2 linked regions of the Oryzias latipes genome follow. The protein of the gene in region 1 purifies or fractionates together with the protein of each later gene. This does not show direct contact. Links are inferred from orthologs where the notes say so. Each region holds a gene or a part of one and is shown on either strand. Other genes may lie near its edges.

Evidence for each region.
Region 2: the proteins of rilpl1 (region 1) and rab10 purify together in Homo sapiens (co-immunoprecipitation; 3 studies listed by BioGRID and IntAct, with this or other methods). This does not show direct contact. The link is inferred for Oryzias latipes from reciprocal best matches to the Homo sapiens genes RILPL1 and RAB10.

Annotation. Positions count from the first base shown.
Region 1 is NC_019870.2:2,567,436-2,570,480, reverse strand, and holds the end of rilpl1 (RILP-like protein 1), read right to left. Parts: intron 2,137-3,045; coding exon 2,032-2,136; intron 1,129-2,031; coding exon 1,002-1,128; 3' UTR 661-1,001; downstream 1-660. UniProt on the Homo sapiens protein: Plays a role in the regulation of cell shape and polarity. Plays a role in cellular protein transport, including protein transport away from primary cilia.
Region 2 is NC_019882.2:17,731,060-17,734,887, forward strand, and holds part of rab10 (ras-related protein Rab-10), read right to left. Parts: intron 2,851-3,828; coding exon 2,712-2,850; intron 1-2,711. UniProt on the Homo sapiens protein: The small GTPases Rab are key regulators of intracellular membrane trafficking, from the formation of transport vesicles to their fusion with membranes.

The sequences.
Region 1 (3,045 bases):
AAATTCACAGTTTAAATTTTAATTTATTTTACAAAAAGAACTTTCACCTTTTTTTCTTGTAAAACTATGATTTAAAAATAAAAAAATGATATATTTTAAATTTGTAAGATTTTGATTTCTCTCTCGTAATTTTAAGTTTTGTTTTCTCAAAATGTTACAACTATATTCTCATAAGATTTTATATTTTTACCTTTTTTTTAAATTTATGACAATTTATTTATTATTTTAATCTCATTATATTTAAACTTTATTCTTGAAGAATTTTGCCTTTTTTTAATCATAATTTTACGCTTTTATTCTCAGTAATGTTTTTACATTTTCTAACTTTTACTCTTTTTTTAAAAAATTGTATTTATCTATATAGCGCCTTAAAATGACTGCAGTCAAACAAGGTGCCTTACATTGAAAACCCAAGTTTTAGGATTTTTTTACAACTTTATTCTCTTTAAATTTCGACTTTTTTTTTTTACAATAAAAAATAAAGAGTTTTCCCTTAATTTGATTATTTTTTTCTGACTTTATTTTCATGAATGTATTGTTGTTTTCTTTTATGGTGGCCCTAACAAAATTGAGAAAAAACTGAAGAATACAGATTTTTTTTCTTCTCGAAACTAAAACTAAATCATAAAAAAGTAAAAAAAAAAAATATTTTTTCCCCCCGCAGAAATACTCTTTTAGATTTTATAAATAAGTCAATCTCTGAGGGTTTCTTCACAAAAATATCATGTTTGCCTTTTTTTCTGCATGAAGCTGCACACTCTGAACAATGCGGATGATGGACGCGTCGTCTGACCGACATTTTTACATCATTTCATCCCACAAATGTGTAGCTTCCACACAAGTGGAAGGATTTTTTTAAAGACCCTTTAAACGGTTTTAGTCCGGGTCAAATCCTTCTCTGTCCTTCAACATTTCACGTGAAAAACCTTTTCTCTCCAGAACATCGTCAGAACACCATCTGTTCCCTGGAGGGGGCGGAGCTTGAGCCGCGGCGGCGGTGGTCACAGGTGCTGCAGAGCCTCCTGCGCCTGCTCCGTGTACACGTCGTCCTTCCACAAGCTGAAGCTGGAGTGAAGCTGGCCGCTCTGCTGCGAGCTGCGCCGCTTATCGCGTGAGAAGAAGCTAAACCTGCAGAGAAGAAAGGCGGGCAGACGTTCTTCTTACAAACTTTTACAGCAGCATTTTAGAAACAAACGCTTAGAAACCACACAGACTTCGGTTTAGCCACGAAAAATCTGATCAAAGAAATCCTGTGGACACGCCTTAAAGGTTACTTTGCTGTAAATGTTCTTTTTCAGGGAAAGTTTTGTCCTTTTGTCACAGCGAACAATTCACAGCTTAAAATCAACCTTTGACCCCTAACCTCAAGCTCAAAACACGCTCACTGCAGAGGACGGCCAGGATGTTTCTGTCGGATTAGCATGAGCGCTTTTAGCTCTCCAGCATGTGAGCTTGTTTTTTTTGTCTTTTCTTGTTTGCGGCCATCGTGTTAGCTTGTTTTTATTTGTTTGCAGCGCACATGTTAGCTTGTTTTTTTTGCAGCCAACACGTTAGCTTGTTATATTTGTTTGTAGCTTACGTGTAAGCTTGTTTTTTTTTCTTTTTTCTTGTTTGCAGCTAATGTGTTTGCTTGTTTTGTTTTTTAGTAGCTAACGTGTTAGCTTGTTTTTTTTGCAGCTAACATGTTAGCTTGGTTATTTTTTGTTTCTTTTGCAGCTAATGCGCTCGCTTGTTTTTTTCTATGTTTGCAGCCAATATGTTAGCTTGATATTTTGTTTGTAGTTAACGTGTTAGCTTGTTTTTTTGTAGTTATTTTTGTCTTTAGCTAACGTGTTAACTTGTTTTTTGTTAACGCTATTGTGTTAGCTTGTGTTTTTTTGTGTGCAATCAACACGTTAGCTTGTTATTTTTGTTTGTAGCTAACGTGTTAGCTTGTTTTTTTATGTATGAAGCGTGCGCTGACTAAAAGCAAACCGTCACCAGAAGCCAGCTCTGAGCAGGAGCGTGCGCAGACGTGCAGCCAGGACTTACAGGCGTTTGATCCCTGACTCCTGTGGTGGAGAGGAGCGCGAGCGATTCCTCAGTTCAGGGGAGGGAGACGGAGAGGGAGTCACGATCTCCTCCTCTGCTTCATCACTGCAAAGACAAAAAGAAACTTGGCTCAGACTATCACCTGGAAAACAACAGGAACCGTGTGATGAAGGGGTTTGAAGCCAATCCTTTACATTTTTGATTTCCACCATCTTAACAGGATATGACATCACTGAACCTCTTGAAAAATGAGTAGGAAGGCGGCAAAGCTGACTGTTATTAACACAGGGAACTGAATGCAGGTTAGTTCCACATGTAACCTGTAGATGGCGTCTTAGTCAGACAAACGGACTCAGTGTTATCTTCTGAGGAGGTTCCATTTAACGCCTGACAAAAATGTACATTTCATGAATATGAGCATTAATAACATCATTGAGATTAGGTTAGAATGATTGATTGACAGATGGTCGTGGAACCATATTCCAGGTGAGTGTATTGCACCTGTTTGCCCATTTTTGGAAAGGTCAAGTTTTGACCACAGAGCTAAAAAAGTGGTTCTAAAAGAACCCAAACAAACCAAAAGGTCCATTTGTGGATGAATGCTCACCTGTTCACTTAGACCACGCCTCCATTTGACCAGATTTAAAACGAAACAATGGGGTTTAGACAAAAAAATATATTTGACAAAAAAGTGGAAAAACCTTCGTGAACTGGCCGTAAATGGGTTTATTGATTTAGTAGAACTAGATGGTTTCACATTTCAGTGAAAGGAGACTTAATCCTGTGTGTAAAGACTCTGACCTGACTCGGCTCCAAAGAATTTGGTTTTCAAAAGAGCTTCATTACGGAAGTAGACAAAAATGATAAACGGAGGACAAATATGACATATTTAGAAAAATCTGGAATCTTTTTCAAATCAATGCTGACTGTGCTCTTTAGATCCATAACAACATTTTTTTTAATTGTTAAAAAGAGTTTCTGAACAAAAGAAAGGTTGTGGTTTTTGCAGAGGAG
Region 2 (3,828 bases), on another chromosome or scaffold:
GGATGGTGTCCCTTTTAATTCAAGGAAGTGCCATTTGAAAATAAATCATGAAGAAGAAATGAATAATTATTTATACAACACCAGTCTTTCATGTATCAGAACAGACAGAAAAAGCTTGGAGCGAGATTAACGGGATTGGCACCAACATTTTGCACCAACCCTCTTCCAACTGTAGGTGGCAGATATGCACTAGTAAAGAAGCAGCAGAAGAAGAAGCAGCAGCCCCTTCCCGCTTGTCCAGTGGGAAAATCTTAGGTTGAATGAATGTTCTAGAACCCATGGCTCGCAAACCATATCTGGCTATTTTGATGGCCACATTTGGCTCTTAGACAAATCTTTAATTATAATTTTTTTTTCATCAGACCAGTCCTTCTCGGGCGTGATGCCTGGGATAGCCGTGCTTGGAAAATAAAAATCTGCCCCACTATCGGTTTACTATTATCTGTTGTATCACAGAGTTTGTAACAGCCTGAAACCTGCGATCTGCCGTCCTGCAGCTGCCACTCCGTCTCTGAGGAAGGAGCGCGCAGCTGCAGGAACAGGATGTAGGAGAAGGGGAGGGGTAGTGGGCTCTGGCAGCGAGGTGAAACGCGCACTAATTGTCAAAACTTAGAACACGCTGCCCGTCACATACCACACACTGCAGCGTGTGAGTATTGCTGTACCGACGTCTGCATGTCAGCAGTCTTTGTCCAATCTAAAGAACATTCAGACCAACCTACGATCACGTTTAACGGATGGAAGTCTCAACGCCTGCATGAAGCTTAAACTCACCACGTATCAACCAGACTAGACCATCAGCAAAACCACCATGCAGCACCAGAAGTCACATTAATGCTAAGAAATACTCATCATTTATTAACAACAGTATAACAATGTTATTAAAAAGAATCAACAGACTTATTGTACTTTAAAAGTGTTGAAATTGCACAAAATGCACACATTCACTTGTATTTTTAGTTTTAAACATATTGTAGTGACTCAGTTGGACTGGGTGGCTGTTGGGTCGTGTCCTAAGTTCTGGAGTTCATTGAACGCATCAAGCAGAGATGCTGATTGGCTCTCAGTTCTGTCGCTCAGCCTGTGGTTGGGGAGTTTGGACCAATGGGGTTCAGCTACGGGCCGAATAAGTACCGTATTTTCCGGACTATAAGTCGCCCTTTTTTTCATAGTTTGGCAAGGGGTGCGACTTATACTCCGCAGTGACTTATATTAGAGCTAAACTGAAATAAACATTGTTAATCCTCCTGTTATGTTCATTTGTGAGGAACATTGATGATGTTCCTGGGTCAATTTGATGTATGAGGTATGTTAAGTGTTAAGAGTTTGTTAAGTGACTCAGAGAATCAGCAAACCTTTTTTTTAAATAAGATCTTGAAGGCTAACATCATCATATTCTATTTTCCAATGATTTCATAGATTCAGAAATACAATAGAAATTACTACATTCTACAAATACAGGATGAAAACAGAGTATTAGTTGGCCAATGATGCTTCATGAAAGGAATAAATAAATATGAGAAAGAATTACTGTGAAATTATGAGATAAACAGTCTGCTATGATTGTGTCATATGAGGTTGTGCAAGTTATTAGTTCTTGGTCTCAGATTTTGTCAAAAGAATTTCCCGTCAAAATGCGACTTATAGTCCAGTGCGACTTATCTGTGTTTTTTTTCTACTTTATAATGCATTTTTGGGCCTGTGCGACTTATACTCTGGAGCGACTTATAGTCCGGAAAATACGGTATATAGGAGGGCTGGTGCGGGAGGAATAAAAGGTTGGGTTAAGCGCCCTTGGCGAAAGAGATTCAGGAGTTGCTGAATAAGTTGTACGGCGTTGGTTACGGCCTGCAGTAACCAGAATAAAGAACCTTAAAAGAGGTAAAGTCTCCGTGCCTCAGTGTGGGAAGGGACGCTACAATACTGAATGGCTCTCATGGAATTACATTTAATGATTTGTGGTGTTTATGGCTCTCTCGGCCAAAAAGGTTCCCGACCCCTGTTCTAGAACGTGCGTTAAGCTTTAGAGTAGAGACGCAGGCAGAACAAAAACTATTGTTTAAATAGAGAATTAAAGATAAATATTTATGTCTAAAGGATTTATATTAAGATTACATTGCTTCTAGATCAGAGCATGATCTTTGTAGGGCTTTTTAGCAAAGCAAAGACGGATCGTAGCAAAGGAGATGTTAATTTTTTTTTTTTTTTTTTTTTTTTTTTAAAACGTCCACATCTGAAGCTTTGATCCAAACTTTGGATTTTCACCAGGATGTGAATTATCTCAGGAAATAGAATCTCACAATTCAAAATTACCATTTTAAAAGTTCACTTTAAACAGCGAGAAGGAATTCAGCTCTTCGGTTAGACTAACTCCTCCACCAAGCATTCCTCCATTCATCAGGGCAGCCACAAAGATATTCCCAGACATTCCCAAAAGGACAGGAAGGACTGACTCAGCAGAAACCGTTCCTGAAAACATGACACACCATTTCCCACCACACTAACCCCACAGTAATCCCTGTGAGAGCACCGCTTTCATTCTTCTTTCAGCCGCTGTTTACCAACAACTAGTGAATCATGGGAATCATAAACGACTGTTTGGTGATCTGAAGTTCATCAGCAAACAACGCTGCTGCTGACGACAGATTTAAAGCCTGAAGGCGCCCCGGCACGTCGATGAGGAAACCAAAAGCAACATTGGTGTGCCTCACCTCGTCGATGTTACGCAACCATTTGCTGATGTTTTCAAAGCTCTTGGTGTTGGAGATGTCATAGACCAGCATGATGCCCATGGCTCCTCTGTAGTAGGATGTGGTGATGGTGTGGAACCGTTCCTGGCCCGCTGTGTCCCTGCAAACAAAAACAGTAACAAACTCAGCAGCTCCTCCCACGTAAAAGACACTTCAGAGCCAGCCCCCTAAAAAGGTTCACAGACTCAGAAGAAAGCAGAAACATTTCTACCAAAGCTGCAACTTTTAGTTTTTCAACAAATCAATTTAGGATCAAACATCGATTATAAAGCTTCCATTTCTGGTTTTATCAAATCTCATCAGTTTATGATGCATCCTAAAATAATCACATCTAGTAGTTTATACTTCAGGATGCATTTGTTTTAATCTGAAAGGGATTCTAGATTATGTGTGGGTGTTAAAGATGCTATTACTTCACTTTCCAAGAACAGGTTTAAACCTTGATTCGGTTCAATACCTGGCTAAAACAGAGAGGAACAAGAAGACCTCAGCTGTTATTCTCAGCCTGCTTTCCACACCAAACGCGATTCACGCGCCAGAGGCGTCAAGTTTCATGTTAAGTCAATGTACAGCTGCGATCAGAGCTCCAGTGGCGTTGTTTTATCATTTGGCATGGCGCCTTTGTCCAGCAGCAGTGCAATTTCAGCGTCACGGCACAATTTGGGTGTCATAGCGCATCCACAGTTCAAAATTCTTTGCTTTGGCGAGGAGGACACATCATGACAACTAATCAGGTGACGTGTTCAGTGATGATCAGTGGGTGGAGTCCAAATCCATTCATGCAGAGAAGCTGGTCGTTCTCGTCCCAAACTTCATCTTTTTCTTATTTGCGTCAAGACAAAAATAAAAATAAAAAAATCTAAATTTTATTTGTATTTTTGTCCTTCCTCTGGCTAATGCAGGACAGCAAGTCTACAGACTGGGTCAGAGAGACGGAAAACCACAGGAAACAACAGTCATTCAGCTCCTGTAGTAGACAGTGAAGCTTAACGTACCAGGAGAGTCTCTGAATGTCAAGACATGGAGACATGATTACTGTCGCTTTGTAAAACTCTTCAAAATAAATAAATCCAATCTC